Coturnix japonica: one gene and its partners. The protein of the gene in region 5 interacts with the protein of the main gene of each other region in a biochemical or structural test. Links are inferred from orthologs where the notes say so. Each region holds a gene or a part of one and is shown on either strand. Other genes may lie near its edges.

What was found.
Region 1: the proteins of LRRK1 (region 5) and GPBP1L1 form a complex in vitro, tested with the Homo sapiens proteins (2 studies listed by BioGRID and IntAct, with this or other methods). The link is inferred for Coturnix japonica from reciprocal best matches to the Homo sapiens genes LRRK1 and GPBP1L1.
Region 2: the proteins of LRRK1 (region 5) and GAK form a complex in vitro, tested with the Homo sapiens proteins (2 studies listed by BioGRID and IntAct, with this or other methods). The link is inferred for Coturnix japonica from reciprocal best matches to the Homo sapiens genes LRRK1 and GAK.
Region 3: the proteins of LRRK1 (region 5) and SNX9 form a complex in vitro, tested with the Homo sapiens proteins (2 studies listed by BioGRID and IntAct, with this or other methods). The link is inferred for Coturnix japonica from reciprocal best matches to the Homo sapiens genes LRRK1 and SNX9.
Region 4: the proteins of LRRK1 (region 5) and GNAZ form a complex in vitro, tested with the Homo sapiens proteins (2 studies listed by BioGRID and IntAct, with this or other methods). The link is inferred for Coturnix japonica from reciprocal best matches to the Homo sapiens genes LRRK1 and GNAZ.
Region 6: the proteins of LRRK1 (region 5) and CLVS1 form a complex in vitro, tested with the Homo sapiens proteins (2 studies listed by BioGRID and IntAct, with this or other methods). The link is inferred for Coturnix japonica from reciprocal best matches to the Homo sapiens genes LRRK1 and CLVS1.
Region 7: the proteins of LRRK1 (region 5) and BAG3 form a complex in vitro, tested with the Homo sapiens proteins (2 studies listed by BioGRID and IntAct, with this or other methods). The link is inferred for Coturnix japonica from reciprocal best matches to the Homo sapiens genes LRRK1 and BAG3.

Annotation. Positions count from the first base shown.
Region 1 is NC_029523.1:18,790,943-18,794,442, reverse strand, and holds part of GPBP1L1 (vasculin-like protein 1), read left to right. Parts: coding exon 1-139; intron 140-2,780; coding exon 2,781-2,921; intron 2,922-3,500. UniProt on the Homo sapiens protein: Possible transcription factor.
Region 2 is NC_029547.1:47,310,664-47,314,163, forward strand, and holds part of GAK (cyclin-G-associated kinase), read right to left. Parts: intron 2,347-3,500; coding exon 2,152-2,346; intron 1,131-2,151; coding exon 1,013-1,130; intron 1-1,012. UniProt on the Homo sapiens protein: Associates with cyclin G and CDK5. Seems to act as an auxilin homolog that is involved in the uncoating of clathrin-coated vesicles by Hsc70 in non-neuronal cells. Expression oscillates slightly during the cell cycle, peaking at G1.
Region 3 is NC_029518.1:46,765,417-46,769,425, reverse strand, and holds the start of SNX9 (sorting nexin-9), read right to left. Parts: upstream 2,801-4,009; 5' UTR 2,691-2,800; coding exon 2,679-2,690; intron 1-2,678. UniProt on the Homo sapiens protein: Involved in endocytosis and intracellular vesicle trafficking, both during interphase and at the end of mitosis. Required for efficient progress through mitosis and cytokinesis. Required for normal formation of the cleavage furrow at the end of mitosis.
Region 4 is NC_029530.1:7,728,883-7,732,998, forward strand, and holds the start of GNAZ (guanine nucleotide-binding protein G(z) subunit alpha), read right to left. Parts: upstream 2,801-4,116; 5' UTR 2,597-2,800; intron 2,532-2,596; exon of another isoform or gene 2,418-2,531; intron 1-2,417. UniProt on the Homo sapiens protein: Guanine nucleotide-binding proteins (G proteins) are involved as modulators or transducers in various transmembrane signaling systems.
Region 5 is NC_029525.1:15,890,719-15,894,218, forward strand, and holds part of LRRK1 (leucine-rich repeat serine/threonine-protein kinase 1), read left to right. Parts: intron 1-148; coding exon 149-266; intron 267-1,368; coding exon 1,369-1,485; intron 1,486-3,500.
Region 6 is NC_029517.1:102,420,068-102,424,192, forward strand, and holds the start of CLVS1 (clavesin-1), read left to right. Parts: upstream 1-1,325; 5' UTR 1,326-1,492; intron 1,493-3,236; 5' UTR 3,237-3,290; intron 3,291-4,125.
Region 7 is NC_029521.1:26,988,814-26,993,054, forward strand, and holds the start of BAG3 (BAG family molecular chaperone regulator 3), read left to right. Parts: upstream 1-1,441; 5' UTR 1,442-1,514; coding exon 1,515-1,685; intron 1,686-4,241. UniProt on the Homo sapiens protein: Co-chaperone and adapter protein that connects different classes of molecular chaperones including heat shock proteins 70 (HSP70s), e.g. HSPA1A/HSP70 or HSPA8/HSC70, and small heat shock proteins (sHSPs), e.g. HSPB8.

The DNA of each region.
Region 1 (3,500 bases), on a different chromosome or scaffold from region 5:
AAAAGAGGATCCTGCTGCTGCCTTCTCAGCTGCATTTACATCACCTGTTTCTCACCTGGCAAATGGTAACAAAGCCACCACCATTGTCCCAAGTGTCTACAAAAATCTGGTTCCTAAACCTGCAGCTCCTCCTTCCAAGGTACGAGGTTTTCCAGCCAAGTCAGTGAACTGTAGATCAATGGAAAAGGAGCACATACAGCTTTTCTAACTTAGCTGTTGTTATTTTTGTGTGAAAAGATAATTGTGAGGTTTGAAAACTAGCACTGTACCAGCAGTAGAGCTTAAGAGATTGAAATGTACTTCTGAAAGCTGTATAAAGGTCTGCTGTGCTGCTGCATGTAGACCCATTGCCTTGAAATTGTGGAAGTCAAACATAAATATTTTCATAGCTGTTAGTTCTCGCTGTGTTGTTGCTGTTGCATTTTGTTTTCATTACTTGTAAAACCCTTTGCAGAAGTTTTTCTGTTAATTCAGTCTAGCAGAGCTGCTCTCAAAACTTCTCAAACTGTTCTCTGAAATTACCCTTTACATTTTAATTCTTTATTGAAACAAACAAACAAAAATACAGTAATCTGTGCCCACAGTTGGAACAAAGCCTCTTATTTTCATAGATAATTTAAGGAGTATGATCAGGCTTTTGGAGACGGTCTTGTGACTGTGGTGTGAAAGTTGAACTAATGCTAAAAATGCAAGGTTTGTTTTAGGGGGGGATTTTGAGTTTTGACATCTTCCCTGCTTGTGTTCTAGCTTATACGTCTATATCTAATTCAGAATTATGGCCATATGTTACAGTAGCTGCCTCACTTTCCTTTGGTATATTCCAGGATATTCCATTCAGAACAATTACTAGGTGTGGATTGTACCTGAATCCTTACCATAGATGAGACAATGCTGATAACTGGGCTGGTAGAGCAGGTATTGACTCGTGATGTGTGGCAGCTCCCAGGAGATCACAGTCATGTTAATTGTGATATAAGTTGTGTTCTCCAGTCATGAAGTGTGCATGCATTGACACCGTGCTGTGGTTGTAGAGGGAGTATGATGCTGCTCACTGGTGGGGATTTCAACAACTAGGAACTGTGTGCTGTCTCATCAACAGCTTGTGTGTTAGTGAATGACGACCACTGATAGAGCTAAAGGTGGAGATCTGCTCATCCTTAGGTAGAAAACCTGTGTTCATGATGCCTTCTTTTAAAGGTAGAGACAGAAAGGAGCTGTGGTAGGCTACATTATTCTGAAGGCTCCAGAAGGTTGTGTGGAAGTTGTAGTGCATAAAGCATTAGAGGAGTCAGAACGTTCCTTTTGACAAAGTCAGCAGTACTGGAAAGCTGTCAGAGGCAAACTGGATGAAATATGCTTGTTAGCTGTACCAGAGGAGGAGAACACGGTGGCAGTGATGGAAGCACATTCTTCCTTTAGATGTGGCGGAATTGTTCACAGGTGAGCAGTGAGTGAAGGTCATAATATGCAGGCGATTCCTTTTGATGCTCAGCTGTAGCTGTTGCCCTTGAATCCAGCAGTCTCTAAGAAAGTAGCAGTGATCAGAGTTTGAATTTGTGTAAGCTGCCACTTTGTGGAAGGTGGGAGAATGACAATTAGCAGCCCAGAGCCAGGTACCTGAACGAGTGCATCCATGTGAATATGCAGAGGGAAGCTTCTTGTTAAATTGATTCTCTGCTCCTAAGAAACTTACTACAGGCAATATTTTGGAGACCAGAGTCTTTTCTGGGTTTCAAATACATGTTTGGAATCTGGTATGAGTGCTGAATTATTTATTCAGCGCTGTAGACTACTTCTAAAGTTGGTGTGGAAGGCTATTAATGAGAATGGAATGATGGTCTCCTCTGGTGATGCATTTATTTTAAAAGGAATAAAATAGCCCAATGGAGAGAGAGATCATAGTGAAATTATGGCTTCTGCTTTCATTGCTCACGGATACAAGATCTATTTAATGTCAGATACAGCTTAATCACACCATGCATGAATTATTTTGCTATCAAGTTGGCTTCAGAAACACAATTGTTCAAAGGAACTGTTATGCCTTAATGCTTTGACAAATGTATTTTTTACACTGCCTGATTCGAGTCCTTTGTTAGCGTTACTGTAATAAAAGCTGCCACTTCAGTGTTTGTCCTTGGCTGACGAGACAGGCCCAAGAACAAAATTCCAAGTAACAAAGTGTTATCTTGAAGGCTTTGCTTTTCAGCCAGACTGCCATTGTATCTAAGGGACATTGCAGAGAGTATCCAGAGCAAAACAGTAGGTAGGTACAGTGCTCATCCACTGCATTAAACTGCCAATTTTCTATTACTTTTATTGGCTAAATCAGTGCAGTGATGGACACTTCCAGAGCCCTAAGGAAATTTACATTCTCGGCTTGGACAGAAAGATTCCTTGAGGTGCTGCTTTCTTGCACAGGGGAAGTTCCTGTCAAGTGAGGCAGAACTTTTCTGTGTGACGAACAGCATTCCTATATGAAACATGGGTTTAATTGGGATCTTTGTTTCCTATCTGATGCTAGCTGCAAGATGCACTGATTCTCTCAGTGGTGATTCCAGTTGATGAAGAGCAGTGCTGGATTTTCTCCTTAGGCTCCAACTGCATTTTCTTATTAGGGGGTCATGCCTGTGAAGCAGAACTTGCTGTGCCTTGGAGGAAACAGGAGATGATAATGGGGAAAAATAATGTATTTAGAGGTGAACTGTTTTTGCTTTTCTGCTTGCAACCAACCCATTGTAGTGTCTTACCACTTCTTGTCTTTTGTGTTCTTTTCAACATAGCCAAGTCCATGGAAAGCCAACAGAAATGAACACAAGCCAGGCTCGCTTTCCTCCAGCCGTGACTCTGCCTTTACCAGTCCAGTGTCTGTAACCAAACCAGCGGTACTGGCAAGTGGCTCAGTCCTCACCTCTCCCAAAGAGGTAAGAAATGGGGTTTGGGTGTAAGAAAGGAATTTTATCACTGTCACCTACTGTAGCTTCAACAAAATAAAATCTTTCCTGCATGTGATACCTAGCTTTGTACCCCTGAATTATGTCTCACTTGTACATTCTTAGCACATCTTTAGTGCATCTTTGATGCTCTCAAGTGATCTGGTTGTAAAGCTGTTGCCATTAGCATTTACCCAAACATACTAGAATTTCTTCCCAATTTAAAAATGAAAAACCTCATACTTAATAGCCTTGTGTTGTTAGACACGCATGGACTTGCAGGACTGCAGATACCAAGAAAAGATGTGCACTGAAAGATAGGCTGATTCCCATGCTGTTCTTAAGTACTTTATAGGAAAAGAAAGTGAAAGTGATCTGCCTTGCTTCTTTTCTGTAGGAAAACAACAGCACAAGCAATGAGCTCTGAGGGGTTCAGCTTCATGCCTGTTTTTAGTGTTGGTAGGAGGTAATCTGCTGAGGATAAGGCTGGCTTACCTCCATTTCTGGTCTGTGTGTTTCTGATGTGTGGAGAGAATCTCCAAATGTAAATTACTTAACACTTCACTGGTA
Region 2 (3,500 bases), on a different chromosome or scaffold from region 5:
CCAATTAGTGAATAATTGCCAGAAAAAAAATCCCAATAAATAGATGTTAATGTTATTAGCCATGAAACTGACGCTGAGGCTGAACTAAAACAAGCTAACTTAGGCTGAATTTTTCACCCACCTCCAATCTCTGCAAATGATTTTGTATTCCTACACATAAAGTTAAAGGAAAAATGTAGAGAAATGTTTCTATTGCAGTAATAACTTGTCTGTCCCATGTGTTTTCCAGCTGTAGTACTGACTGAAATCCTCTGGATCAATTCCCACAATGCTCCAGGTTATCTTAAGCTTCCCACTGCACCTTTCTATCTTTTACAACAGGTTTAATTTCTGAGAGAAGCCTAGGATTCGTTTTTAGTGATGCAAAGACAGAGTTTGTTTCCAAGTTGCTGTTTTTTGTTATCTTCTAATAAATTAGCTTTTTTCTTTTTTGTATTAAAAGTGAAACACGCACTATTTCTGGAAGAGTGCGTAAGACCAGTAAGAAAATAGGCTATAAAACTTAACCTGGCTCTAGGAATAGGGTACAATAGTAGAAACTTTTTTTTTTAATTAAAAAGACTGTTCCATATGAACAGTCCCTGGCACTCCACTTCCATACTGAGCAGCATTTTTCCTTTGGTTGTGTTGAAGCTTGTTTATACAGTATTAAGAAGTTCTGTCCTACTGTACACCTTTCTGGATGAGATTGGATAAGTTTACAAAATGGCTACAGACTCTCCCCCACAAATGTAGTAACTACCACCGCAAATCTGATTTCTAGAAATTCTTACCAACAGAGATCAATATCACAACAATATCACAACAGAGAGCGTTATGAAGAAAATGGACATATATATTCAGGCCTGTTAAAGCAAATTCCCAAGTACAAGAACATATCATACACTTATTTGAACAACAAAAAAAGGAGTAAATAAAGTTATGTACTTACTGAGATTCCAAATACACCTACAACACACACTGAACAAAGGAAAAACAAGCCCTTGACACAGGCTGTTAAATTTGCCATTACCTTGGCTTGTAGTCGGCCTCCTAGTGTTGACCTGGCATGATAGATGGCAATGAGAACATCTCCTTGAACTGTTATACCCAATGGAATTACTGCTTTCCCATCTTCAATTTTAAACTCCCTGAGGAAAAAGCATATCCTCTGTTAGTCTTGATTCAGCGATATAATCTGCATTTCCTTATGTTTAATTTGCTTTCTCCAAGACCTTTAACACCAACCTATGAATTCCACACAAAATTCTTACTGTCAACAAAGGGATTCACTCTAAGTAACTTAAAAAAACCCCAAACAAACAAAAACCTGCTCTAAAAGCCAGCAGCTAGCAAACAGCAGCCACCCACGGCAGGGGAGACATGTTTTGAAGAAGCTGCTGGAAAATACAAGAGCACAGCTAGAGAAAAGGACAAGACAAACAGGGTATCGTGAATATGACTGTTCCAAGGAAAGGTGCAAAGAAACTGCAGCTGTCCTACGTCATGATACTGCTACTACTAAGGATTCTCACTTAGGAACAAAGGTAGGAATAAAGAAGGTGAAAATACCCCACAGCAGTTTCATTCTCACTCTTTTCAAGTTTCAAGCTCTTTACTGGGCTTAAAATTACCAGAAATATAGGAGGACTTGGGTATTCTCCCATCTTTCCTCCGTGACTGTTACACAGAATTGCTCAGCATCGTTTGCACTTGCAGTGATGCACTGCAACTGAAGAGCTGTACTTTCCTTAGATCTCCTACAGCTGATGGATGCTCCATGTTTTTTATGGCAGCACTGTGAAGTTCAGTTTCAGTGGTGCTGGTATATCCCCCCAGCAACTACATGCAAAATAGGAAGACTGATCCCTGCAGGACAATACATAAAGGTCTTGTTCCATTCTTCCTCCTAAAGCCCACAGTGCAATATGTCACCTTGCTGTCGCTCACCCATTCTGTGGAGATACCTCCATGCTTCTACTATAGCCACATGATTTTTTTTTAAATAACCATGATTTACCTTTCAAAATAAACTAAAATGGAACATAGGAGCTTTTCCAGAAGCTTCATGATCAATTGGCACATCCAAAGCTGTATTTCTCCTCATAGTAAAGACCTACTTAACTCACTACAGGAAAACAAAACATACAGTTCTCCATAACCTCTACTTACTTCATTTTGTCATATTCTTGGGAGGTAGTGGTTACTCTCTCATCCCCTATATAAACTTCACAAAAAGGCCTGCAGCCATTACGCTGCTTGCTGAAAAGAGGAACTGGTGTCATGATGATGGATCTGATCAGGATTGGCTTGCTGTGAGGAATAATGGGCTCTTCAGCCATCATGTCGCACATGTATTCAATGTATCTGTCAAAAGCAAGAAATAACCATTAAACAAAAGAATCAAATTCTACACTTGGGTACACAGCTTACTTTTGTTAATACTGTGCCACTGAGCAGTAAAAAACAACAACAAAACATTGAGAACATTTAACAGCACTGCTGGGAAACACAGTTTTTCAAAATCTGATACAGTACCACAAAAGGAGAACTAAATAGAAACACGGACAAATATTAATGATCCTTGACTGGTCTTTCTAAATAAGGACAGAAACACAATTCCTGAACAAAGGCACAATGGCTGCACTACAACAATATTAAACACAGAAAACTCAATACTGTCCCATGCCAAAAATCATCTGTACCTGTGTTCTACCTCACAGACAACTCTAGTCTCTGCCTTGGATAACAATTACCTAACAACTACCCACTTGTAAAACAAACTAGCCACTCTTTCCAAAAGCCTCATTTACAGTATCCCAGTAGGAAAACAATCTACATTTTACACAAAATGAATTAAAGTTACAAGAGTTCTGAAGCTAGCTACTCCGAGCTTCCTAACAGCACTTTACAGTCTGGGCTGTAACACAACCATGCCCTAGCTGAGTTTCTGATCTTGAGGAATAATGTCCTGCCAAAAAGATGTCAAGATCCTGGATGAGATCTGGGAAACTGTCTTTAGGGACCCAGAAACAGAACAGAGATGGCAACTCCTTAAGGACAAGAGCTCTCCATCCCCCAGCAATTCTCTTGCTAAGACAGGTTGAGGTAGCTTGGCTTGTTTTCAGCGTGGAGAAGGAATGGCTTCAGTGAGACCTCTCTGAGGCCCTCCAGTATTTAATAGAGCTAATAGACATGGCAGGAACCATCTTTTTACATCATCCAATAACAAAGAAAAGGATTTGGGGGTGTTTATTGATGAAAGACCCAACATGAGCTGGCAGTGTGTACTTGCAGCCCAGAAGGCCAACCCTATCCTGGACTGTATCAGTAGAAACATGATCAGCAGGTCAAGGGAGGTGATTCTGCCCCTCTACTCATGAGAACCCATCTAGAGTACTGCACCAATTGTGGGACCTGCAACACAAGAAGGATACTGAGCTGATGGAGTGACTGTAGCGGGGGGCCATGAAAATGATCAGAGGGCTGGAGCACCTCACCTACAAGGACAGACTGAGAGA
Region 3 (4,009 bases), on a different chromosome or scaffold from region 5:
CGCTTGCACCGAACCTTTTGCAACTGCTCCAAGCAAACTTTTACCTACTTCAATAGATGGAACTGCAAAAAACTTTTCCACTGCTCTCCCTCAGTTAATCTTTTGCTATTCTAGCGAGTCATAGTCACTCAAGGACAGGCCTGACAAGCATTAGTGTCAACACAGGATCAGCACAAGGAGGTAGCAGTGACTGTGAGGCCAGCTCCCACCATCACACTGAATCCCCACAGCCCTCAGAGGGCGTGGGGCCTACATAGTATCCCTGCCCAGCTGCCGGTTAACTAATACACCAGCAGAGCATCAATAAAGGGGTTTTGTTTGTTTGTTTTCATGAAAATAGTAGTTATTCCCCCAGAAAGTTTTAGTATTTCAATAAGAATTCTCATGAGTTTAAATGGTGCAGGGAAGAGCTAGGAGACTATGAGATTAAACCACATCTTCAGAGCACTCTGGGAACTTAAACAGCAGGGTTTATCACGGTGGAAGGCAATAAGATTGGTCAGAGTTCACAAATTACGGAAGAAATGCCATTTTCTCCTCGTAAAGCACATTCTAGTTTAAACAAGAGTTAGTACAGGAAGCACTAACAGCCTGTGCAGTGCTGGCCATGCCTGACTGCCACTCATCCCCACCAGCTCTACAGCTTGTCACGCCATGGACGCTTCTGAAATTCACACCCCAGGTGACCAGTCACAGCTCCGTTTTGTCAACATTTTCTTGTATAATTCTGATATCCTTCAGAAAGAGAACAAGTGGAAGGTGGCAAATCTGTCTGCAGCTTCAAAAGGAAAACAATTTCCAGGTGAAATGGGAACTTGTTAGTTGGCGGAGTTCCTGAAGACAGTTTACTGAGCCTGTCACTCCCTTACTCCATTAAAAAAAGGCATCCTTTATTATAGCTGACATTTGAACGAGTTCAGCAAATTAAAATCCAAAGTAGGAGAATTAGCTGAAAGGGACCTAACTCATGGGTGAAGCTTAAAATAAAGCAAGCTTCTCTTCAGTAAAGCTTTGTTAACAGCTAATTGAGATAATAATATCAAAAAGAAATGTCAAGCCTTCACTATCACTTCCCAAATTTAACATACAAGTCAATTACTATGTCTTGCAAAGCGCTGAATGAAAAAAAATCTTGCACCACCTGATTTCAATACAGTTCTGGCTACTATGACATGTCCTTCGTTCTAAGGCCGTAATGACCACAACCATTTATTTGACAAAAAGTGAAAACATCCATATGTATGGATAAAACAGTGTTATGAGACTCCATGAGGGCAGATGCTACAGCTCAAAGTGAGGTAAAAAGAAAACATAAAGCATTTGAACTCGGTGTTTGCTCAGTAGACCATGTGTTATGCTTTACATCCACACCTGTCATTTTCTTTTTATTGCTACCTGCAGTAGTTACGTGTGCTTACACGTGGTTCAGGCACACGGCCCACAAATCAGTGGAAACCACCCACAACAAAACTAAGTCCATTAATGATATTCTAAAAACCTGTACAGGTCATAAATTTCACTTATATTGATACTTCTTCAATTGCATTAATGATGTTGAAGCTTACACCATTTCTTCGGTGCATGTGAAAAGGCTTAGTGAGTTACCCTCTGCTCGGATGGCTGGAGGCTGCTATTTAGCCATCAAATCCTACACACTGAAGATGAGGGAACTCTCTGATACTGAGAAATGCCACAAGAGCAGCGTGCTGTATGACAGGTGCCTCAGTAAAACATTGTTTGCATGGCTGGGCAAGTTTTGGAATCGAATCAGTTTGAAAGCATTACTTCAAATACCAAAAAGCCTCGTGTGATATTCAGACAGCTTGTAAATGATGTTTACCCATCTACACGAGCAGAGACAAAACAGCACTGCCACCTTCATCAACAAGTAGAGTAAATAAGTATTGTCAATTTAGAAAGAGATCGGTTTCAGACAGGATGGGCTAATTCCGACTGTTGCATTCATAGCAGATAGATACTGTTGAAGAACAAAGCAAAACAATTTCACTTCCTTCTTTTTCTTTTCCCACTCAATCAGACCCTAATACTCCTAGAGCAGGACACACACCGCAGCCCTGGAGAGCTGCCCCGGCCCTCACGGCCTTCCCAACCCGCAGCTTTCTGTGCGGAGCAGCACGCAGCCCCCCGCCCCTCGGTTCGGCCGCTGCCGCACACCAGCCGTGCCCGCCGCAGCGCTCGGAGCACCCGCATCCCCCGGTGGGGCTCGGGAAGAGCAGCAGGGACGGCGGGCCCAGCAGCGCGCAGGCCTTCCTTCCCTCCGCACCGCCCGGCAGCCACGGGACAGGGGTACGGGGCGGCACCGGCCCGGCCTCGAGCAGCTTTCCGCCCTCGCAGCCACGCCGGGCGAGGCGAGGGGCGGAAATCCAGCAGAAAACAACTTCGGATCGGACGCTGCCCCCTACGAACCCCACGCGGGGCCGGGCGGCGGCGAGGCCCGAGCGCGGCGCGACGCGGCGGCAGCCCCCTCCTCCCCTCCCGGCGGCGAGGGGCAGGCCCGGGGAGGGGACTCGCTCCCCAGACCCCATAACGCAGCCCTCCTTCTCTCCCTCACTGCCCAGCGGAGCTACCGCCGCCGACCCCACCGCGGGGCCCGCTCGAAGCAGGGGGCGCCCCGGAGCCGCCCCTTCGCCCCCCGCGCGGTGCCGGGGTCCGCTCACCTTGGTGGCCATGGCGCCGCCGCTGCAGGCTCGGCTGCCGCTCTGCCCTCCCCGCCGCGGCCCGCGGCTGCTCGCTCGCCGCGTCCGGCCCGCCCGCCGCCGCTGGGCCGCGCAGGCGGCTCCTCCTCACCTCCCCCGGTCGCCGCCGCCGCCTGGGGGCCGCTGGGCGGCTCAGCAGCCGGCCCGGCGCTGGGCAGGCGGCTGCTGCTGGTGTGGCGGCGAGGCCGTGCCCCCTCCCCGCAGCCCCCGCACCCCGGCGCTTTGCCCCCCCGCCCCGTCGCCGTGAGGGCTGGAGGGGGAGGGGGAACCCCGGGGGAGCCGCCCCGGCCAGGCCCCAAGGGCGGGCGAGTCCCCATCCCCCGGCCCCGTGAAGCCTTCGCGTTTCTGTCGGCTTTTGCCTCAAATTCGTATTCCTGGAGCGGGGCGGCTCCGGGCCTGTGGAGTGCCCGCGGTGTCGACCACGCGGGCAACCCTGCTCCGGCCACTGAAAAGCTCACAGAACTCTTTCGTTATCTGTTTGGTGTCGTTATCCCTCGGTTCCCTCTACACAAAGATTCTAAACAGCGAGGAGACGAATATCCCCTCTGCCGGGCTCATTCTGCTGCTTTCACAGAGGCGTGTGTTTCAACACTGGTGCTGCCGGGCCTTGATGCACGGCAGCAGGGATGCAGCCTCAAGAATCCACAGAATCACAGAATCACAGAATGACCCGGGTTGGAAGGGACCTCAAGGATCATGTAGTTCCAACCCCCCTGCCTGGCAGGGCCACCGAACATACACATTTACTAGATCAGGTTGCCCAGGGCCCCATCCAACCTGGTCTTGAACACCTCCAAGGACGGGGCATCCACAACCTCCCTGGGCATCCAGCCAGGGGCTGTGCCATTGCTGTCAGACACTGTGCCAACATCTCACAAAGAATAAGACATCTTACTCAATTTCCAGCCTTGGGGAAGGTGTGATGGAGGACCACAACAAAGGCTGAGGAGGAAATCTGGTGGCAACAGTTATAGAGAGGTTCACAGACCACATGAAACCCACCTCTGCCATGTGCACCTGGTGTCTTATTGGGAGAAATCTGGCATTTTTGAAGCCAGAAAATGGAAACTTCTAGGTGAAAGAGTGGAACTTATTAATGACTGCTTGTATGCATCCCTTCTTCATTTAAGCTGTTGGGATAGAGATTCTAGACAGAAGTGCCATCTAAAGTTTGCCACAGTTTAAAGGTGGCATAGCTGTGTCCACAGTGCTAGCAAGGAAAAAGGGCCTGGGACTGATTTCTGATTGCAGTAAATCACTTGTGTCCACCCTGCTTAGGATTACTTTGGCTA
Region 4 (4,116 bases), on a different chromosome or scaffold from region 5:
TGCAGACTTAATGAAGGTACGCTCCATCCCCTCATCCAAATCATCACAAAAGATATTTAAACAGAATAAGCCCCAATACCTGCCTCTAGGAAACACCACTTGTGACTCGTGGTTAAACGATTAATACTTTGATAAACTGATAACTCATAAGTTAGAGTTTGTGACTCCAGGAAATTCTTAGTGAATTTGTCATTGAGACAGTGACCTTACTGAAATCTGCTATAAAACTGTTCAACACTGTTGATCCTAAAGGGCATGGGAGAATCTGATCAGTGAAAAGCTGCGTGCTCATATTGAGCCGGGACTGTCCGACTGACAGCAGGAACAAAACTTCCAGCAAGTCCCATGGAAGCAGGACCAAATCATTACACAGAGTTAGTGAGATTCAACTCTCATTTTCAGTTACATAAATCTGGAGAACATCTTCTGAAATAAGTGGAATTATGGTGATTTAGCCCAAAAGAATTGAGAGCAATTTTCTTTAATTAGGTGGTAGGGGGGGAAGAGATATAACTCCTTTACGTTACCTCATTGCTACGTATCAACCAAGGCTCTATCTGCTGTCAAAATCATTATCTGCTTAAGTTGGAGAGGAAAAGCTGACTTCACCATTTAAGGATTTAAGCTTTTATTTTCTGTTGTCCTTATCCCTCTGCTTATCCCCTTCCCCACATCTCAGCAGGTAGATTCCCTTCAGATGAAGGGCCACATTTCTTTTTTCTGCTTCAGTCTAGATTTCTTAATATCTAATATACTTTTTCCATTAACGTGTAATCCAAACCGAGACAACCTGAACACTTTCACTTCGCTCTGCCAGAACTATTTTTCTAGTTATTTTTAGAATATCATAGTTAAATTCAAGCCCAAGGCCTGTAGCTGAAACAGCAAACTGCACCAAAAGCCTGATACATCTGATTTCAAGGCAGTAGTGCCTCCCAAAGAGCCAGCTCTGTCACCAGCAGTCAGTGGAGTTATGAGAACATAATCCTCAGACAAGGTGGCACATTCTTCATGCAGCAGAATTTATTCACCTCCATAAGGCCCACAGCCAGAATGAAATCTGCGGCCTCACGTGGAATCAGTCAACCTTTCTGAGGGCATGCATATGCACACACAAGTACGGGTCTTTGAAAATGCACGTCCATGCTTTAGTAATAGAAGAAAGGAGATTTTATCCTAAATACCCCCATATATCTGAGATGTTTTCTTTTGATTTCATTCATCACTGGCTTCCAGAAGAATGAAATTTCACTCTTCTGTACACGTAGGCCTACGCTGGAACGGTGTCCTCTACCCAAGGACAGGGATCTGTGCTTTTGGGGAAGAGCTTCCAGTCTAACCATTTGATGAAGACAGCTAAGTTAAAGGCAAACACCTTCCTGTTCTGCAGAGCTCTATCCCTGCACCTGTGTCGCTTCAGGCGGCAAATATGTGCCTTGCTGCAGAAAAGCCACTATTTTTATCTGTACCAGCACTTAAGCCATCAACGTGGATTACAAATTCTCCATCCATCAAGTCAGAAACAGTTTTCCCTGTGGAAGCACAGGGTACACCCTCATTTTGACTACATGATCCACAAGTAGGCATCCACAGCACCATGGTTCTGCTTGACCTGCCGTGCAACCCCTGCAGAAGACATTCCAGTGGCCACTCAAAGGGTGTGACCCACAACGGCACAAAACAGAGCCAGAATAAAAACCAAATCGGAGCCACGTTTGTACCAGCAAATGGATGTAAAGGGAGCTGAATGGAAAAGCAATGAGGTGGTCTCAAATCTCACCCAGGAAAACATAGCTGAGATAGGTCAGCAGCCTCCTGAGCAAATGCTGCAAGAACACATTAAGCAGCTCCTACAGGGAAACAGCAAAAAAACCACTCAGCTCAGTGCTACAGCCAGAAAAATATACACTTGTCTGTAGATCTACATGCTAACTGAAGCATTGGGTGCGTATGGATCTCTCACTCGAAATGCAGATACAAACAGACCATGGAACTTGTGGCTCGGCACCTCAGACGGAGCCATGCACAGGTGCGGATTGATGCTATAACGCCTCCCGATGCCTCGCATGAACGAACGCGGACGAGGCAGAGCAGCCTCGCAACAAGCAGCCGCGGCTGCAGGACTCGCTGCAGACCCCCAGCAACCGGAGGTTTGCAACTGCAAAACCCCCGGGGAGCAGAGCCGTGCGGGGAGGGTCCTCTCCCAAAGGCACAACCGAATGGAATCGGTACCGGAGCGCTGCGGCTCGGGGCAGCTCGGATGCTGGCTCTGGGGTCCGGGCTAGGAAGGGCGATGCCTGAGTTTGATGGAAAGGGCTTCAGCTGAAGCACAGCCGCCCAGGGAAGGTCATTTTAGCCGTAGCGGCAGCAGCCCAACCCTTGCGATTTTTCTTCTGCAACCAGCAAAATATTCCTACCTCACGGTGACGACCATCCCTTCCATCACCGAACTACCGCCGTTCGTTTCAAGATCGCATCTATTCCTTTCCCCCCGCAGAACCCCCTTTTCATTCTGGAAACGTAAGAGGGAAACGCTCCTCGCGGAGCTGACGGAGAAGGAGAAGGAGGAGGGAAGCAGAAGGCAGCACGCACTCACCTCGGCGCCGGGCCGGCAGCCTCCACCGCCTCAATCCATCTCCGCAGCCCCGCACTGCTCCTCCCGCGGCCTTCTCGCAGCTGCCCGGTCTCCCAGCAGCAGACGGACGCTGCCCTCCCTCCTCTCCGGTCTCGCAGCCCCTCGCTCCGCCCGATGCCGCAATACCGACGCCCGCCGGCGGCCCGCGGAGGCAGCGGCGCGGGGCGGTCCCGCCGGGAGCCGGGCGGGGGACGCGGGGCCGGCTGCGGGAGGCGGAGGCAGCAGCGCGTTGCCACGCCAACGAGCGGAGGATGGCAAGGGGGGGCGGGCGGCCGAGCCCTGTAACCCTCCAACCCCTCCAACCCCTCCCGTCCTGGGTGACAGCGGCGGACGGGCGGCTCCGCTCCGTGTTGCGTAAGGAGCGCGCACGGGGCAGCTCCCCGAGGAGAACAAGGCAGCGGTCGGGGTGCCGCATGTGTGTCAGAGTGATGCAATGAAGGGCAGAGGGCAAAGCCGGCTCGTGCCGCGGGATCTGCCTTCATTCCGCTGTTAACATCTTTCGGTTGATTTCGGTGCCGGGCATTTTCTCTTTCCATCTTTCGCTTCTACGTGTGACGCTCGCTGCAGCTTTATTTAAGTGATACCAAGTACCATTTTCTCTTATGTCACGGATGGAGCTACCTGTTCCTACATATCTTTCCTTTTAGCCGTGCAGGCTGCAGCCCTGCTCACACAGCTGCGATTTCTCCCTACAGTGCGATTTCATAACCGGAATCTATTACTGATACGTTTCTGCTGGAGACAGCAACGGAGGCTCCCAGGCAGAGACAGAGCAGGGGCATGTTTCCCACAGCGAGGCTACCATGATGCAGCACAGCAAACATCTGATTCCTGTCATTAACGCCGCTTGCAGGGCTGATCCATCAGCACAACTGCAGCATCAATGAGCTACAGGAATGAAATATTTTAGTGTAAAAATGCAACGTAGCAGCATTAGTTTTCTTGCACTGAAATAAGAACCATGAATCAGTGTAGCACGTGAGTCCTATGCGTAATGAACCTCAGGGTTCTTACCAACAGTTTGTCCATGCACCTGGGCTGGTGATGTGACTCAGAGCATCAAAAGATAAATGTCCTATACGTGACCAGCGCTGTTTTCTCAGCAAAACTGTAATCTTCAAATCATAAACTTGCCAGCTTAATAAAACAAACAACCAGCTTTTAATCTCTCCAGCTTTACCTTTCAGTATCCAGCAATGCACGTTTATGCTTTGATGCATTGATACGATCAGGCAGCAGTGACTGTCTAAATTCTAATGGTGCTCTGTGTCTCTCAGTCGTTCTGCAGTGCACGAAGCTCTGCCATAGTTCTGTTGGCAGGGGAATAAAGAGGGATAAAGCAGTGTAGCTGTGGTAACTGCCTGAGTACTCTGGATAATGGGATGAAAGAACAATAACAAGGTGTACAGGTTTAATCTGCTGCTCCATAAAGAACAAGTAGTTACTATAGAAACTGTCATATTACACGTGTCTCCAGCATA
Region 5 (3,500 bases):
GAAGAGCTGGGCTGTGTCTTTATGTCTTTTCCTTTATGAGAACCCTTTGGAGAGCCCTGCAGCACCGTCTGCATCACGCTGTGGCTCAGCCAGAAGTGCCCTATCACAGGTTGGAGGCTGGCTGCAGCCAATTGTTTGTTCTTTTCAGAAACTACACGGTGGTGAATCCAGAAAAAGGGGTCATAGAAGTGGAGAGGATGAGCTGCCCCGGCATGAAGCTGTGCTGCCAGCTGAAATTTCAGAACACACTCTGGGCTGCTACGGAGGTAAGGCCGTCTGTACCCTGCTCAAGTGCTCCTCCTCGCAAGGCATGGAAACCTATGGCCTCTTCAGTCAATAGAACTAAGAGTGCTGGAGACAACAGAGCTGAGCACCTGCTGCCTCATGGGGTGTTGGTGCTGCATGCTGTTTGGCTGACACTTAGAGCACGGTTGTGTCTCCTTGTGTTCAGAGCAGTCATGGGAATCTCGGCTGCCCGAGGTGAAACTGCTCCAGTTGGGGCATATCTGCACCCAGTGGTTCCGTCTGGGAAATATCCTTATCTCTGAGTGATAAATGGGAGCAGTGAAAGAAACCATGCATTGTGGGTGGGGTTGTAAAACAGGGCCGAGGGATTTGGAATCTGGTGGGAAATGGGCACCCAAGTGCAGCGTTCACCATGGAAAACCACAGCTGAAAAGATAAGAGTGGGAGAGCATGGCTGGCTTATCTCTGAGCCTGTATCCGCCCATCAGAAAGGGCTGTGTTAAGTGTCAGCCTGTTCTGCACAACCATTTGACACAAAGCAAACAAAACATAGATGAAACAAATGGGAATGTTCCCAAAGTTCAGTTTCGGGGTTGAGGGGCAGGAGGCCACGTGTGCAGAATAAGTAATCCATGTTGGTGAATTCACATGGCTGGAGTATGGAAGCTGGAATGGAGTGAAGGTGTGTATCTTTTTCCCATGTTGATAAATAAGGTATTTGACTTTTCTATCCACTCAAATTGAGGCAGGGTTCACATATTCCTTGTAACTCCAGTATTATTAGTCTGAACCGATGGGTGAATGCTAAAGAGCACAAAACGTATCTCAGTTGTCCTGACACATTCATGGTTTGTTCAGAGTTGGGGTTACCAATGCTGGTTTCAGATACACTGCTGTAACAGCTGGAGTGCTGAGTTTAGTTGGCTTTGGGTCACAGTTGGTTCTGGGGAGGGCAGCCCCCAGGTTCTACCCATAGGCTAATGGCCTCCAGAGAAAACAAAGGGAAATCCAGGCTTTGCGTAGGAAAATATACAAATAAAAACTGTTTGGGATTCAGTTATCAAAGGGTAAAAATCATGAGAAGCAAAGGAAATTCATTGAATTTGGTGTGTTCTTCCACAGGACCAGAAGATCTCAGTGTACAGGCTGCAGGGCATGTGTCCTCTGAAGGCCCCGCAGAAGGGTTTGGACTCTCCTGCTGCTGTCAGCTGCTTCCTGGTGATTCCTGTTATCAAAAAGGTATGGGGGAATCCTAGCTCCAGCTTGAGAAGGGTGTGTTAGTGAAGCCAGGCTAGAAGGCTTGTGCCACTTGTCACCAGCCAGCATCAAAGGTGTTTGCTGTGTTTGGTAGTGCAGGAAGGTGGGTTTGGCTCTTGGTGTCTCTACCAGCAGAGTGAGGGGCAGAGGTGTAGGCATGAACCTGCATCAAGGGACCGGAGCTGGCACTGCAAACTCTGCCAGGATAATAGTCCAAACAGATCAAATTCCCATGCAAGGAAGTTTTCCAGCCGTGTTTCCACATCACTGCATGGCAAGGTTTAGGCTGATCAAGCAAGGTCGAGGGGATGTGAATGAGTAATTAGTATAGAGATTTGTTAACTGTTAATGCAGGGCTTGGGTATACTCTGGCTCCTGCTCTCACTCTTTCCCTGGCACGTGTGCATGCTGTTGTTTGTGTGCACAGTATTACCTACACTTCTTTCTGGTTTTGGATGAAAATGCTTAGGTCATAAATGCAGTCTATGAGCTGCCACCTATGACTAATAAAACGCTGTATGCTATCTAGCTGGTTGTGAAACTACTACCATCCAATTACTGGCAAGAGGAATCTGACATTACTGCCTATTGCGGGCAGGGCTGAGGGATGTACAAAAACTGCTCTGGGCTAAATTACCTCCGGTTTGTCTACAGCACCTCGAGTGAAAACACATAATTATACTCCAACGTTAATGGTGACCATGAAGTTTTTGCAGATGCCAGTGGGCTGTCTAAGGCTAAAAGCTCAACACGGAGCAGCTCTCATGGCAGCCGTGGAGCTGTTTTATACCGCGTGTCTGTTCCCGTTGTTGTCCATTTCTGGCTGGTCTGCTCAGACTGCTGTCTGCATCCAGGGCGGATGGTTAGTGTAAGGTGTACCACTTGACTTCCAAACATGGTGTGAGGAGGACTGAAGAAGGGCACAGAGCTGAAGTTGGCGGAGGGACGAGTTTCAGCCGCCTCTTGGCTTTCTTTGGCTCCCACGTCTGCAGTGTTTCTCCACTGTGCAGTTTCATTTCTGACGTGTAGGGCAAATTTCTTTTTCGTGCTGCCTGAGGTTTTGTCCAGGATAGTCGAACGAGTCTTTTTGCTTTTCAGCTTTTCCACTGTCACACAGCTTGCAAAGCCATTCCTTAGGGGTTACGAGTGGCTTTATGTCTCCTGGTTTCTATTTTCAGTTTGTGGCTTGCCTAGAAAATGTCATAAATAATGCCAGGCTCTACAATAGTAATATTGAGTCTAGACACCTCCCTTCCTCCCCCGACCCTACCCAACCTTCCAGCAATCCACATCCCTTTGCTGCTCTCCTTGCTTTATTGCACTTACTTTTTCCTCTCTCCTTTCTATGAATGAATTTGGCAGTGAAACAGCCAGAGCAGCAGCCGTGGGGATGTGCAGACCAGGCTGGCAAGAAACTAAGCCATTTTTTTGAAGCAGCCAGTTCTTCCCATAAAACAAAGCGGAAAGCTTACACTTGTCAAACTCACTGTACAGCACAGCGAGTTGTATCTGAGTTATCACATGGTAATTATTGCCTGGTGCAGGGAAGAATTGCTCTCGTTTCCCTGGGTAGAAAGCCTTCAGCTGTTGAGATGTGAGGTAACTCGCAGTCAGAGAGCTGCTGAGGGATGTTGCTGGGAAGGGGAATTCTTTATGACTGCCTTGGGAAGGCTGATCCAAAAGAAACAATTTCCAAAACTCAGTTTCTCATCCAAAGGAAGCATCATGGAAACTTCAAGGCAGCAGAGAGGGGCCCAGGATCCAAATCTCACCCGCCAAGGAAAAGTTTTGTACAATTTGAGCTTTTTTGTTGTGTGGTTTCTGGGGGAGAGAGAGATGTGTATGGGTGCGAGCCTCCAGCCTCCTGCAGCAACCTGGAACAGATGAAAACAAAAGCTGCATTTAAAGGCTGCAGTACTCAGTGCCAGCAGCGCCAGACCTTGTGGGAAGGAGGGAGGAGGTGACCGAGGCCATTTTTGGTTTTAACCTGCTCCTTG
Region 6 (4,125 bases), on a different chromosome or scaffold from region 5:
CAAATTCACTAAACCCTTTGTGAAAATTATGTCCTTTCAAAGCTAGATATAGTAGGTTTCCTTTTTCCTATTCCTTGAATGGAAAGAGATAGTGAGATATCATTCTAATTTATCTTCCTTATGCTGTTCACCCTTAATAAATGATGAAAAACTTATAACCACAGTTACTCATTTCTTTTTTTTTTTTCTTTTTTTTTTTTTTTTTTGCGCACTGAAGAATTCTACTATGCTTAGTCACTTCTTATGAAGAGGTTGATCCATATTTTTATCATCATTGCTCATTATCACCCAGTGTTTCACTACGTGAGATCCTTCAGTAACTCACACAGGAGATTTGTCCAAAGCAAAGAGACCAAGAGTCAGTTGTCTTAAGTCACTTTTTTCCAGGAATTGTATACATAAGAAGCAGAGGAAGAAATGCATTTCACAGTTACCTTTGATTGGTCTAACTGTGTTTATATGAGCAGTAGAATGTAAATTTTATTTGCTAAGGGCATTAAAGTCTTTCATGTACAGCTTCCTAGCATAGCTCTTAAGAAGCTCATACAGAAATAAATTTTCAGAACCAACTGAAAGAAGTTATCTCTTGTAATTTCCACAGGACTAGACAAAGCTTACAAATCCTTGCAAAGATATCTTGGAATAGTGGTTTTGAAATGTATAGCTGTTCTAGAAGAGACTGAAAGAGCTCAAGGACAAGAAAATTGTCCTAAAAACAGACACAGTATTGATGGGGAAAGTCCTTGAGCATAAAAGTGTTTGGGAGAGGGGCTGAGAGAGCACTTATCTGTTCTTATATTCTTCACTAGACATTCTCTGTGGCTGCTATTAGTGTCCTGAGCTAGGTGTACCTGTAGTCTGACCCAGAAGAACTTCTCTTACAAACCCAGGCTGCCATGTTCGTTAAGACAGACCATCTATAATGCATGAAGATTACCCTTTCTGTGGCTGCTGTAAATGCCGCAGGAGGTTGTGCTCTCCCAGAGTTTGTCTCGAAAGAGGCGATGCGAGAAATAACGTCAGCGAAGACCATGCCACCAGGTGAAAGCCCGCACTAAGCTCTCGGGGACGGGCTGTGCTGTTGCTTCCCCGACTGTCAGCAGCCCGCGGCTCCTTTGTCACCACTCCCCCGGCGGTTGCGGCGCACCGATCCCGCAGCATGGGAGAGCCTGGAGCTCCGGGAGGCAGTCGGGCAGGCGGCAGGAGGGCTTAGGACCCAGGGGGACGGCAGCCTCCGAGTGGAAGGACCCAGGCTTTGGTGCACACGCCTCCTACCGAAAAAAAAAAAAAAAAAAAAAAAAATCCTAGCCCCGTGGAGCTGGCGCTCGCTCATTCACAGTTTTCTAGAGAGATCTGAGCCTGAACCTAGGAGCCGGGAGATCTTTCTCACCCACCCAGCTCAACGGCAAGGACACCTACAGGGGGAAAAAAAACCCCAAACATCCCACGCAGCCCCCCGCCGCCCCGAGGCAGGCTGCCTGGCTCTGTGCAGGTATTTGGATTTGTCTTTTCTCGGGTTGCGGCAGGGCGGCTCTCCTCTCTCCCGTCCCTCCCCCGCGCCTCCGGGCCCGGGCTGCGGCTTTTCAGCACCGCTGGGCGGACAGCTCCGGCCGCAGCCCCGCCGCGCTGCGGGCCGGGGCCTCTCCCTGCCTGCTCCCTTCCCGGCCCTGCCCTGCTCCTGCCTGCTGCCTACCTGCCCTACACCCTGCCTACCTGCCCTACACCCTGCCTACCTGCCCTACACCCTGCCTGCCTCTCGATCTGCCCTTTTCCTTGCCTGCCCTGCCTCCTGCTTCTTGCCTCTCCTGCCTTTTCTGCCCGTTTTTCCTCTGCCTGCCTGCCTCATTCCACTGCTCACTGCCATCTCCTTGTCTCCTGCCTCCACAGCTTGCCTCCCTTGCCTGCCTTGTTTCCCTGTTCCCTGCCTCCTCCATCTCCCTAAGCTGCCTGTCCTGCCTCTCTTCCTCCCTCCCTTGCTCCCTATCTGCCCTGCATCTCGTCCCTGTCTGATACCTGCCCTGCCCTGCCTGCCCTACTTCCTTACCTCCCTTTCCTCTCCTGAATCCCATCCACTCCCTGCTTTCTGACTCCCACCTACACTGTCTCTTTTGCCTCCTGTCCTTATTGCCCTGCCTTTCTGCTTTCTGCCTTCTTGCTTTCTGCCTCTCCGATCTACTCTCCTCCTTGATTTGCTTCCCTGCCTCCTTTCCTCCCAGCCCATATTTCTGTTTCCTTTCTTTCATACCATTTCCGCCTCCTAACGGCCTGCTTCTTCATCATCAGCTCTGGAGGAGGCTATGAGAACTAGGAAAAAAAAAAAAAAAAAAAAAGCTACTTAATCCCCAGAAACTGATCAAGGCAGGGGACAAGAGTAGCAAGATGGAAAGGAAAGACTACGTCCAATTTCAGAGCAGATGAGAAGTGAGAGGAATGGAGAGGGGAGGGTTAAAACTGGGAGTTAATTTGCTGAGACCCTAACTAAGTACAGGGTGATAGAAGTACAAGCAGAGACTGTTGCTTCTCAACAAATTGATCCCTGTTTTGACCAGGTACATTCAAACCAGAAGGGGATGAGAGATTAAAGGAAGGGAAAATGTTCAGGATTAGTCAAATGTTCAGCTTTACCAGAGGCAAACAGTAATGAATAATGTCTGCAGTGAAGAAGTAGGGTGAATCATGCTTACCCCATGAACCCTTTGCTGGAGGGAGTCAAGAACTAAGTTTTGGTTTTGCAAGCAGCAAGTGTTTTCAAGGAGGGTTTAATGCAGAAAATAAATACAAAGAAAATAACTGCTGGAGAATCCCCATGCATGCTACTGATTTGACTTTAATTATGCCTGCAATGGTATAATCCTGGTGAGGGTGAAGGGGGGTTGAAGAAGGTCATAGGAAGAAAGGAGCTTTCAGTTTAAAAATGCTGATTCCTAAATCTAAACAAGCTCCAGGAATAATGAAGTTAAGAGGCAGATGGTTAGTTGTTGTCCATCACTAAACAGTGACTGGATTGTATTTGGAAAGAAAAATTAAATTACAGAAAGGCTGCTTTCATGTGCTTTCTGAGTAATCAGACGGTAACACGGATTTTCTCCAGTAAGAAAAGTTAATGCAATGCCAACATCTAAATGACAGATTATGTAACAGTATTATGTCAAGTATTGTATAGCAAAGGTAAGGATTTTCTTTTTTTTGTGTAGTGATAAATCAGATGACCACATAGATCTTTCCCTGCTTTGCAGTCTGTACCCCACGATGAAGTTCGTATGGACAGCTCATGTTGTCAGCACAGTCAGGTCTGTTAAGTATCTGCTATGTGATGTCACTGATTATCTTCAGAATGTGGTTGACTCATCCGGATTTGCAAAGCATTGAGAATTTCTCTAAAGATTAGACTCTTGTAAGATATATGCAAAACAATAACATAACTTGTTCTAAAACCTTGCCATTCTTGCCTTACTATTTCATCATTTCTGACCACATCTGGTGCAGAGACCCAGATTCTCTTATGCCGAGTAACACAGAGAGCTACGGAGTAGGCGTAAGCAGTGCAGTTGGCAATAGAGGGACTGCAGAATCAGCCCCATCACAACGAGCCATAATTCCATAAACTCTGTGCTTTGAACATGGAAAGCATTGCAACAAAATATGTAACAACAGCTTCATTGTATTTCTAAAGAGGGCCCTGTCAGTGAGAATACAAGTTATCAGCCTCATAAAAAGAGTATTCCCTGCAAACTAAGGAGCATAAGCACAGCTTTGTTTTTTATCTAAATGAGGAGCTACTGAAGTACTTCTGCTAATATTTGGCAAATTAGTGTTATTTTCCCTCCTATCCCACAGATGTGGTATATAGCATATAAACAAGCATAATGGGACAACCAGATAATAAGAAATAGGTAGGAACATCAGTCTTTTATGGAAGGGAAAATTCACTGAGCAATATTTCACATAGTTTATGGCAGATATATATAAATCCTTTACATGTTGATATTATTACTGCTTTTAGGAATTTGCCTAAGAATTTCTAAAAGCTCTTTTTTTATTATTGTTAATAGGATTTGTAGAAATAAACTTCTTAATTTTAGTATGTTTGAATGCACAAGGTATTATCAAATTGCATTAAACTTC
Region 7 (4,241 bases), on a different chromosome or scaffold from region 5:
CTACAAGAGGCTAAAGTCTACCTAGCACGGACAAGAATTTAATTAAGAGGAAAAGCACAATATCCAGCCAAATAAAATCAATCACTCAGATGCCTTCCCTTCTCAGTCCATGCTCATCTCCGCATGATACTGCAGCCACAGGATCTGCTCCTGCAGAAGAAGCTTGGGCAAATTCTGACCTATCAGACCATGATAATTTTGGTGAGATTTCCTGACCTGTTTCTCAGCAAGGCACAAACTCACAGCCACATTTAACTTATGTCTCTTAGCTACTACCCTGAATTTTCCTCTTATTTCCAGCTTTTTTATTAACTCTGCTAAGTATGTGGCTATCAGCTACAGCAAAACAAAGCTTTTCAAACAAAGAGATCCTTGAGACAAATATTGCAAAGGCAAAGATGGGAGGGCTGTGGGAAGGGCAGCTGTACCTGGGGTTTATCAGGCCCAGCACTGCTGGCCAGGCGAGGAAAGGGGTTCTCCTGCTCTGCATTGCAATGCTGTGTCCTCACATCAAATACTTCCAAATTGGGATATTCTATGGCTCTAAGGAAGGAACAAGGCTGAGCAATTGTCGCAATAAACAAACCCCACTGTCAGAGGATGGATGAGTGTCAGTGTCAATCAGCGTCAGCCCAATCTGTGACCCTGCCCTGAGCTGACAAGGTTCTGACCATCCCCAGGGTGTGCACAGGCAGCTCCTCTGAAATGAGGCACGTGGGTAATGAACGAATGCACACCTCAACCTCTTCGGAGCAAGCAGCTTTGCAGCAGACAATGTCTGCTCTTCAGGGGCTCGGCATTGACTCTGCAGGGTAAATAACTGTCAATAGGCGCCTGGGGCCAAGTGGATCTGTCAGATGGCTGCAGGTGCTCGCTGCCAAGTGGTGTAACCCACTGCCAGCACTCAGAGATGGGGGACAGGCTGGTGCTCACACAGACACTCTACATTCAGATGTTTGCCAGCATCAGTGAATCCAAAGGCTGAGACACGATCAAAGAGTCGATTCTGAAGTACAGTGCCTGTCCACACTGCAACTCTGAAACAGACATTATTTGTGCTGTTTGCCAGGGCTGGACACACATAACCTTAACCCATCAGAAAGGACGAAGTTCCTGGCTTCTCGTTCCGTTGGACCAGAATCGCAGAATCACCGGCTCGGAGCAGGAGCTGTCAGAGCGGTGTCAGACGGTGTCAGAGCGCTGTCAGAGCGGTGTCAGAGCGGGGACATTCAGGCACTCGGCGCTGCTCCCCCAGCCCGCACCCAGCTCGTCTGTCCCAGCCGGGTCTCCCTGCCATAACCCCGCACCACACTGGAGGCCACCAGAAGTTTCCAGCCGGGCCGGGCTCGGCCGCCTCCCTCCTCCCCGTCCCTCCCCTTTCCCCTCCTCCGCCGGCCGGCGCCGATTTCCAGACACTTCCAGCCCCGCGCCTCCGCCCCCCCGCTCCCCGCGGCGGATAAAGCGGCCGGGCCCGGCCTCCCCGCCCCGCACTCGGCGCATGGCCCGGATCCGGCATGAGCGCTGCCACGCACTCCCCGCTGCTCCAAACGGAGAGCGGCTCCGAGCCGCTGCCGCCCGGCTGGGAGATCAAGGTGGACCCGCAGACGGGCTGGCCTTTCTTCGTGGACCACAACAGCCGAACCACCACCTGGAGCGACCCGCGTCTGCGGGGCGACGCGGCCAAAGTACGGCGGGGGGTGCGGGGCTGCGCTATGGGGCAGGGGGTGGGGGGGGGGGTTGGAGGGAGGTGGGGGCCCGGCGCTGGGCTGGGGGCTGCCGGGGCCAGGCTGCGGCTCAGCGCGTGGCAATGCAGTGAGGCCAGGAGCTGCCTTTTGTCTCTGACGCACTGCAGTCCCTTTTTTGTGCATTAAATCATCCGATACCTCGGCTCCGGGGTGTTTATTTAAAGTTGGTGAAGTGAACCCGGCCGGCCCGGGGAAGGCTGGGATGGGTTTTTTTCGGCTGCAAATGAGCCGAGGCGACGTACAGAGCTTCAAAGTGACGCGGCTCAGACTTGTCAAGAGTTTTAGGGTTTTTTGTTGTCTTGGTCTCGTTCCATACTCCGTCACTTCGTTGTGTTGTGTCTGTAAGTGCGCTCAGAGAAAAGCTGCATCTCAGTCCTAATATGTCCATGGCTGCGGGCAGCGGCTGGGAGCCGGTGGGACCCGCAAAGTGGCTTTTCGGAGCCCAACTCTGAGCCTTCAGAAGTTGCGCCGTGTGACCCGCCTTAGTATTAACGCGGTGACTGAAAAGAAAGTGCTGGAAACTTGAGCTGCACCGCGAGTTGCCAGAGTGGTGGAAAAACAAATCCTGGGGGGTTTTCTTGCATTTCTCTGCAAGCAACGCTGCTTTCTTTCAGCCCGGGTACGGCCAACCTCGCGGCTTCGCCTTTAGTTCTGCAACCCCATAAAATGGGCAATGATGAAGCATAATATCGCGGCTCCTGTGGAGGATTTCTGTCCGTCCTTGCGACCTAAAATGTCGCCCGTTGCCGCCGTTAGGACGAGGCCCAGGATCGCTCCGTGCTGGACCCTGGCCGCCGCTGCTCGGAGCGGTGCTGGAAGGGATCGCTTGGACTGTGCGGAGCCACGGCTGGCCCCGAGCCCAGCGCCGGCTCTCAGCTGCCAGGCCCGGCTCCGTCCTGCTGCAAGTCAGCTGGAACAGCCCAGCTGCTCCCTGGACGTGGTGCGCGTGGAGCTGGCAGCCTCCAAGTGCTTTGATCACGGTGACGCGGCCCAGCGAGCGCTGACTGTGGCCATTGCTTCGCCGTCCTGTCGGGGAGAGCCGGCAGTGCTGGGAGGAATCGGGGCTGCCATCTTAGGCAGAGCCCCTTCCCTGGGAAAAGCAGCCTCTGGTGTGGCACGTGGCTCACGTGGAGCCAGTGGAAGATACTCAGTAACTCCAAAATGTATCTTCGATGTAACTGATACAGTTTTTATTCCCCTCCCCACCCAAGGAGTCTTAAAGGATTAAAGCGCAAAAGAGCATTTTGAGAAACATTAAGTTCTTACATTGAATTGCCCATTTTATGAGCGCAGATCAGCTCAGTGTGAAAGCAGACAGAGCTCACACAGAAGTGAAGGGGCTGTGCTTCTCCTTCTCCCCACTGCTCCAGCCAAGTGATGTTGTGCAGTTGCACTCACAGATACAAAGTGCTGTTTGGAATGGAAGAAATGCATTGTGCCAGTTACAACATAGCCTTTCACCCCCTTTTTCCACTCAATTATTGATTATATAGTTCTGGCAGTAATGGTAGATCTTGTTTGATGTAGTTTGGTGATGTGAATGTTGAGAGTACAATAGGGAAAAGTGCTTTAACTCATTTTTGGCTACTGACTTCCTAGTGGTAATGAGACACCTACTAACATGGGCTGTTATGGCAATAAAAATATGCTTTTTAGAGCCATAAAGCATAGTCAAGTCGAAAAGCATGCATTTATTCAAGGCTTTTGTTATGGAAATAGCACTTGAAAGTAACTCGTTTAAGGGAGAAATCACATTTAAGCTGCATTTGATAATTGTATAAAAAACAGGTTTTGAAGTGCTCTAATGGATCAGTGCTGGTTTTGAGTGGGTGACTGAAACAAAACAAGTTTTCATCCCTATCTGATGTTAAATCTGTGGTAATAAAAAGTGGCTCCTCTCCTGCCAACTTGGAAGTGTTACTACAGGCAGAAAGAGCTGTGCCTCTTTTCAGCTCTTTTTGTGGAATTCACTTGTTTTCCAAACAGAAACACCTGTCACCGCTCACTACAAGCAGGAACAGCTTTGGGACTGGTCACAGAGAAATACTTCCAGGGATAGTATTGGAAGGTTGAGTTCTCAGTTCCCTCCTTCTTAGTCTGCCTTCAGTGAGAGTGATCAGGAGTGATCAGAGAACTGCAGAAGCCAACCTTGTGTCAGACCATGTCTCATTAAGGATGAAAACACAGGCAAAGTTGTACTGACTGTACTGATGAAATCAGTGATTTTGTTGATCCCTTTTATGTTAGTCTCTATAAATCCTTATTCTCTTTATAAATCCTTGTTCTCTCTCCAAATATTCCCTCTTCACAGAGATATAGGTAGAACATGAGCTGTTGCTCAGAGAGCAGAGCGCAGGTCCAAAGCTGACTGACTTCTTTTAGCTGATCAAACAGGCTGTGGCATGGCAAGGTGCTGCATTTCCCCTACAGCTCATCTTGATCTTCCTGCTCTAGATTTGCCAGCAGTGTAACCATGCTGACTGCATTAACTGTACC